Linked DNA regions of Callithrix jacchus. The protein of the gene in region 2 interacts with the protein of the main gene of each other region in a pairwise test. Links are inferred from orthologs where the notes say so. Each region holds a gene or a part of one and is shown on either strand. Other genes may lie near its edges.

Region 1 (3,745 bases), on a different chromosome or scaffold from region 2:
CTCAGACAATCCACCTGCCTCAGCCTCTCAAAATGCTATGATTACAGTCATGAGCCACTGCGCCTGGCTGATTGTACAGCTTTTAAGGCAACGTAACAGGCTATAAAATATCAGAGGGGATTTCCCCTAGTATGGAGAGAGTTGTTTCACCCATTTGTGTGTGTGTGCACATGCACAAACACACACAGGTGAGAAAAAGAATGTGTGAGGGTGCCTAGTAAAATGTACTTATTGTCTGTCATAATTTTTTTTTTTTTTTTTTTTTGGAGACAGAGCCTCACTCTGTTGCCCAGGCTGGAGTGGCACTGATCACATATGGCTCACTGCAAGGCACATGCCACCATGCCCAGCTAATTCTTTTTTTTTTTTTTTTTTTTTGAGACAGAATCTTACTCTGTCACCCAGACTGAAGTGCAATGGCGCAATCTCGGCTCACTGCAGCCTCCACCTCCTGGGTTCCAGCGATTCTCCTGCCTCAGTCTCCCTGGTAGCTGGGATTACAGGCGCCTGCCGCCATGCCTGGGTTTTTTGTTTTTGTTTTTGAGACAGAGTCTTGCTCTGTCACCAGACTGGAGTGCAGTGGCACAATCTTGGCTCACTGAGCCTCTGCCTCTCGGGTTCCAGTGATTCTCCTGTTGTGGGTAGCTGAGATTACGGGGACACGCCACCACGCCAAGCTAATTTTTGGGTTTTGTTTGTTTGTTTGTTTGTTTGTTTTGAGACGGAGTTTCGCTCTTGTTACCCAGGCTGGAGTGCAATGGCGCGAACTCGGCTCACCGCAACCTCTACCTCTTGGGTTCAGGCAATTCTCCTGCCTCAGCCTCCCGAGTAGCTGGGATTACAGGTACGTGCCACCATGCCCAGCTAATTTTTTTATATTTTTAGTAGAGACAGGGTTTCACCATGTTGACCGGGATGGTCTCGACCTCTTTACCTCGTGATCCACCCGCCTCGGCCTCCCAAAGTGCTGGGATTACAGGCGTGAGCCACTGCGCCCGGCCCTAATTTTTGTATTTGTATTAAAGACAGGGTTTCATCGTGTTGGCCAAGCTGGTCTCAAACTCCTGGGCTCAAGCAATCCTCCCACCTTGGCCTCCCAAAGTCCTGAGGTTACAGGTGTGAGCAACAGCGCCCACCCCTGTAGCTCACAGTTGTACAAGTGTGTAAAGCACTGTTTTTGTTCGTTGTTGACATCTCTAGCTCTTCCTCCTGGTCTGTGGGTCTGAGTTATGCCACGAGTACAGCACTGGAAAATATTTTGGGAATCTGTGTTGGGAGACCCAGCGTGTGAGGCTGTAAATGTCCCATAGCTTCTGATAAATGTCTTCACGACCCAATAAATTTCTCCTTCTCTGTGGGTGGAGACCAAGCCCTATACCCTACAGGCCCCTTCCAGTTTCCCTTTAAGAGCCTGTGACGCAGATCCGTTCTTTCCCCGACAGGGAGCTGCCTCTGTACCGGGTCCTCCCCAGCAGAGATTTACCCAGCATCCCTCCTTTACCCCGCGCAGGGGCCACAGCCGGATCTCCCATTCTTCCCAGAGGAATGGGCCCCAGGGCGTGAGAGTGGGAGGAGGCCAAAGCCTCGGCGCGAGGGACACCAGACCCTTGCGGCCAGCGAAACGGAATGCAAGAGGCCCCACGCTGCAGTCGGAGGGGCAGGACTGGCCCCGGGTGGACCAGATCACCAAAGCCAAACTCTCCCATCTTCCTGCGGCAGCGCGGCCCCTGGCCTAGACCTCTGGGCACTCTACAGCCGGGTCCCATCTCCTCCCACTCTTCGGACCTCCGTGTTCCCAGGCCTCGCCAACCCTCGCGCCTTCTCTCTCCTGGCTCTCCAACCTCGCCCCCTGCCCCGCAGCCTCCAGAAGCCCCACCCACTTACCTGCCCCGCCCAATTCCCTCCCCTTGCCACCACCCCCGCCACCGCATCCCGCCCCGAGGTCCTGCTTCCCCACCCCGCCTCCTGCCCCCCTTTTCTCGGCCCCACCTGCGGGCCCTCCCACGTCCTAACGGGCTCCCGCCCGCCGCCCTGCCTGGGACCTCGCCCGGCCCGCGGGGCTGGGTTTCCGCGGCAGGTGCACTTAGCGCGGCCAGGCCTCCGCCCACCTGGTCCCGCAGGTCCTGGATGGTCTTGTAGTAGTGGCTGTAGTCGCGGGAGGGCCCGGGCCCCTGCTTCTGGTACCAGTCGCGGATCTTCACCTCCAGCTCGCCGTTGGCCGCCTCCAGGGCGCGCACCTTGTCCAGGTAGGAGGCCAGGCGGTCGTTGAGGTTCTGCATGGTGAGCTTCTCGTTGCCCGCCAGCAGCCCGTCGGAAGTAGCCAGGATGCCGCCATAGCCGCCGCCGTAGCCCCCCGAGGAGGACGAGGACACGAAGCGAGTGGAGGACACGGACACGCCGCGGCCGCCGGAGCCCCCGTGTATGCTAGGTGCGCGAAAGGCGACACCCGGCCCAAAACGCACGGAGCCGCCGCCCAGGCCCCCGAAGGACGACGTGGACGACTGGCGATAGCTGTAGGAAGTCATGGCGAGGCGGAGCACGGACCGAGCGACCCTGGTCCCAGAGGCTGTGATCACCGGAGGCGCGGCGAGGCCCTCACCGGGCGCCTTTTATGCCGGGGGCCAGGAAGTGGGGCGGGGAATGGGGGGAAGGGAAGAATGGTGTTAGGGGTGGATATCTGAGCCCTGAGGAATTTGCAGGCTCCTGAGAGCAAATACGGGCGCTCTACCCATTGGTCAATTCCTGGCGGCTCTGCCCGCAACCCTCTCCTCCCAGAGACCAGAGGCCCCTGCCATCCAGAGCTGCCCCACCCCAATCCTCGCAGAAGCTCCCACCCACACTCAACCACTCCAGTTCTGCAGACCCTCTTCCAGGCTTTCCCCCAACAGGGACGTACTTAGACACCCACGTTCTGACCCTCACCCTTTAAGAGCACCCAGAGTTTGACACCCATTGGGAATTACGGTCCCTCTGGGGTCATATTCCTACACACCCTGGCACAGTGATTTTGGTTTGGTTTGGGTTTTTTTGTTTGTTTGTTTTTTGGAGACGGAGTCTCTGTCCCCCAGGCAGGAGTGCAGTGGTGTGACCTCAGCACACTGCAGCCTCCGCCTACCCGATTCAAGCAATTCTTATGCCTCAGCCTCTGAAGTAGCTGGGATTACAGGCACCCACCACCATGCCCTGCTAATTTTCGTATTTTTAGTAGAGATGTCATTTCACCATGTTGACCAGGGTGGTCTTGAACTCCTGGCCTCAAGTGATCCACCGGCCTCAGCCCCCCAAAGTACTGGGATTACAGGTGTGAGCTACCACACCCAACCCCAATGATTAACCATTCAGAATGCTCCCTCCAGAATACTGTTAGGAGCCCCTTGCTTGCGATCCTAACCAGCCCACCCTCCACAAAGTGTGTTCACAGATTCCCGCACTCCACTGGAAAGTACCACCCGCTTTTTGGGAACACCCATGTCCAACTCCCCTTTAGTCCCCTTTGGCAAAGGCCCACCGTTTCCGGATGAGGGCACTTTGAGCTGCAGGAACCCAGCCCTCCCAAGACAAAGCTGCCTCACCCTGCTGTGACTATTCAGTGCCCCAAGGTGACAATAGGCTCCCGAGAACAGCTGCAGGGAGCGGTTCTGGCAGCCTGCACCTTTGCAACACCAAGCTCAAGCCTGACTATCACATGGGGGCTAACCCCCATTCTGGAACTCTCAAAGCCCACTCGTTCCTGGCCACCAGGATA
Region 2 (3,745 bases):
GGCTGGAGTGCAGTGGCACGATCTCGGCTCACTGCAACCTCCACCTTCCAAGTTCAAGCGATTCTCCTGCCTCAGCCTTCAGAGTAGCTGGGATTACAGGTGCCTGCCGGCCGGGCACAGTAGCTCACGCCTGTAATCCCAGCACTTTGGGAGGCCGAGGCGGGTGGATCACGAGGTCAACCGATCAAGACCATCCTGGTCAAAATGGTGAAACCCTGTCTCTACTAAAGATACAAAAAAAAAAAAAAAAAAAAAATTAGCTGGGCATGGTGGTACGTGCCTGTAATCCTAGCTACTTGGGAGGCTGAGGCAGGAGAATTGCCTGAACCCAGGAGGCGGAGGTTGCAGTGAGCCGAGATCGCGCCATTGCACTCCAGCCTGGGTAACGAGCGAAACTCCATCTCAAAATAAATAAATAAACAAACAAACAAACAAATAAATAAATACAGGTGCCTGCCACCATGCCCAGCTAATTTTTGTATTTTTAGTAGAGACGAGATTTCGCCATGGTGGCCAGACTGGTCTTGAACTCCTGAACCGCCCGCCTCGGCCTCCCAAAGTGCTGGGATTACAGGATTGAGCCACCGCGTCAGGCCCTGCCTCAGCTTTGTGAAGGAGATCCTGGCTTTCCCTCGGGAAGGGTTACCTGGATAGGGCACTCTCCTACTTCAGAGGATTCCCAGCATCCAAGCGCCGTCTATTCTCTAACCCAGAGGCCAGTCTCCCCTGCCCGAGGCTGCCGGTTGCCTTCCTGAAACCAGCAGAGACAGCCAAAGTGTGAGAACACTCCAGACCTGCACACGCACCCGTAGTCTGTCTGCATGTGCTCAAACACGAACATCTCCCAAAGCTCCTCTAGCCTGCAGGGCTACTGCGTCGCGAAAATATATCGTGTTGCCACAATGACTTCTGGGTACTGTAGTCCCACATGTGGATTGGCCACTTGGCTTGAAGTTTCCTTGGGATGTTGCAGCCGTCCCAACACGGCAACTTCTCATTTGTCAGCCTGCAGCAGTTTAAATTAGTGGCGGTGTTACCACATCCTATTAGCTAAGAGTCACTTCCTCTAAGCTTGCGCCTCCGGCTATGTCTTAATGACACATTTCACAATGTTTGTGGCACAGCCAACTGGCAAAAACTAGTGAATCAGGGGCTCCTGACGTGGCAGCTCTAGCTAAGATGCAGGGTGATGTCCTAGGTGCCCAGGGAAGTCGGGCGCATTGGGGAGTGGAGTGAGAGAAGCGCTGAAACCAAGAGGCTGGAAGCCAGACTTGCCCAGCATAAAAACACCTGCTGGGGGGAGCCTGCATGAGGTACCGGTTGTCATCCCCTCTCATCTTGGCCATCTGCCTGATGAAGATTCTCAGGCACCCAGCAGACTGGAGTGTCACCCCCATCACCCACTGCCCAGGGCTGACCTCGGGCGGAAGAGTGACATTCAAATACTTGTTGCATATGGAGCAACAGGACAGGCTGGAAGGGAGAGAAAGGACTCTCCCTGGCAAGAGGAAGGGCCAGGCTTGCCAGGGCTCCTATGTTCCACCTGCTGTGTCTCCAAGCTCGCTGGTGCCTATCAGGAGCCTGCTTGGCACCTTTGCTTATTTCCTCGATTGTTCCTGAACTCAGAGGGGGAGAGGGAAGATTATCACCCCTACAGTCTATAAAATGCACACTTAAACACAAACACAACCCCTCTGACATGGCTTCAGACCGCATCCACAGGTGAAAAGCACCAAATCCAATCATACCACAAACCCATCAAGAGCTCACCAGTCTGGCTGTCCGGCTGCCACCCGCCTTGAGACTCAGCCTGAGCTATCGCTCTGATCCCTGGAGACTTCAAGACTAGCCTCTAGCCTTGCTGGGCCTCAGCACAACCCCCGATCAATCCAACCCTGTGGCTGTGGACAGATGCCAAGATACACAGTTAGCACCTCCGACTGTACCGCGGCTCGGCCGGGCTCGCCGTCTACACGTCCATTCCCAGGCCCACGGCCTCGACACCCAGGGCTGCCTCCTGCCTTGGGCTCCCTGGAGTCTAGCGGCCGCGGCTCCTACTGCAGTCACCGGACAGCCAGCTGCCAAGCGCCACTACTGCACCTGAAGTCGCGACCCCGCACTCCGCACCCAGTCGAGGCGCCGAGATGTTAACTGGGCAGGAGGGTCCAGCCCGCGGGCGACCGAGGAACGAGAGGGTTCCCCCCACTCGCTGCCCAGACTGGCCGGGCTGGCGCGCCCACCCCAAAGCCTGCACCCCCCGCCCCCTTCCAAACACTGCTGAGTGGGGCTGCTGTGTCTCCGCCGACCCTCCACTTGCCCGAAGTTCCCTCCACTTTTCCGAAGTTCGGCCTGGGGTGCTTGGGGCCCTGAGGAGCGCAGAGGTAGACAGACAGCCAGTCAGTAGTCAGTCAATCAGTGGGTCACGGCGGCCCTCGGCTACTCAGCTGCAACCAGGCCAGAAAGAAGCAGCCTCCTAAAGTGCTGGGATTCCCGGCTTCCAAGCGGGCCCCCGTCGTCCTGGTCGGCCCTCAGCCCTCCAGAGCTTACAGTGTCGAGGTGCCGTCGCAAGGCCTGCCGGGAATAGTAGTTAATATCGTTTGCAGCTGGCCAGGGCGGAGCCGGGTGGGCGTGGAGAGGGCGGGGAAACTATCTTGAACCACAACTCCCAGGAGCACTCGCGACGGCGGTGGCCGCGCTGACGTACTCAGGCTGTAGAGGGCGCATTGGGCTGGAGACCCCGGGCCGGCAAGAACTTGCTTGTGATTGGATGTTGTGGGACGGCGGCTTCTCATTCGTCAGCCTGTGGCCGTGGAGTTTGAATTGGGTGGCGGTTGGCGGTAGAGCCGCTTTCTCACAGGCACCGGGAGGTTTTGATCAGCCCTTGTCTCGGGACTGCAGGTACGTGCCTGGCGACTTCTTCGGGTGGCATTTGTCCGCCTTTCTCGTGCCTACCCGGTTCCTTGCCTCCCTGCCCCATCTCTGCCGCTACCCGCAGCCTCCGCCGAGCGCCATGGCTCCTAGGAAGGGCAGCAGTCGGGTGGCCAAAACCAACTCCTTACGGAAGCGGAAGCTCGCCTCCTTTCTGAAAGACTTCGACCGTGAAGGTAAGGAAGGGGCCGGGCAGTCGCGGCTTCCTGGGGCAGTCGCGGGATGCTGGCGGGTGGGGACACGAGCAGCACCTATTCACCCGCCCCGTGACCCGTGTCCCGTCGGCTCTGCCCTCCCGCAGTGGAAATACGAATCAAGCAGATTGAGTCAGACAGGCAGAACCTCCTCAAGGAGGTGGATAACCTGTACAACATCGAGATCCTGCGACTCCCCAAGGCGCTGCGCGAGATGAACTGGCTCGACTACTTCGGTAAGAGCTGCAGCCCCTTGGGGTTAGGTGACACCCTTCAGAAAGGGCTCGCTCGGATGTCACCTTTTAATGAGATCTGACATGAGCACTTATGGAAAATGGCAGACCTACTGTTCCCCTTCACTCTCTGTCTCACTTCCCTACTTCATTTTTCTCCATGCTTTTCTCTAAAGGTCTAGCTAGCAAATATTTTAGTCCACTGGTGCGGGGGTCGATGGGGGTCTCTGTCAGACTACTCAACTCTGTGATATGTGATACAGTTCCAAAACAGCTGTAGTGAATGGGCATGGATGGGCTGTATTGCAATAAAATTTTAGTTACGGATACACTGAAATGTGAATTTCACATAATTTTTCCACATCAGGAAATAGTATTTTTTTTAATTTA

What was found. The genes of interacting proteins can lie anywhere in the genome.
Region 1: the proteins of AIRIM (region 2) and keratin, type I cytoskeletal 19 interact in binary tests that used the Homo sapiens proteins (3 or more experiments, as listed by UniProt). The two-hybrid records come from large-scale screens. The link is inferred for Callithrix jacchus from reciprocal best matches to the Homo sapiens genes AIRIM and KRT19.

The regions. Positions count from the first base shown.
Region 1 is NC_133506.1:91,728,253-91,731,997, reverse strand, and holds the start of keratin, type I cytoskeletal 19, read right to left. Parts: upstream 2,586-3,745; 5' UTR 2,526-2,585; coding exon 2,109-2,525; intron 1-2,108. UniProt on the Homo sapiens protein: Involved in the organization of myofibers. Together with KRT8, helps to link the contractile apparatus to dystrophin at the costameres of striated muscle.
Region 2 is NC_133508.1:74,246,602-74,250,346, forward strand, and holds the start of AIRIM (AFG2-interacting ribosome maturation factor), read right to left. Parts: upstream 2,574-3,745; 5' UTR 2,318-2,573; intron 1,902-2,317; exon of another isoform or gene 1,771-1,901; intron 858-1,770; exon of another isoform or gene 752-857; 5' UTR 647-751; exon of another isoform or gene 530-646; intron 225-529; 5' UTR 1-224. Other genes in the region: CDCA8 (borealin), read left to right, coding at 3,011-3,104, 3,230-3,358. UniProt on the Homo sapiens protein: Part of the 55LCC heterohexameric ATPase complex which is chromatin-associated and promotes replisome proteostasis to maintain replication fork progression and genome stability.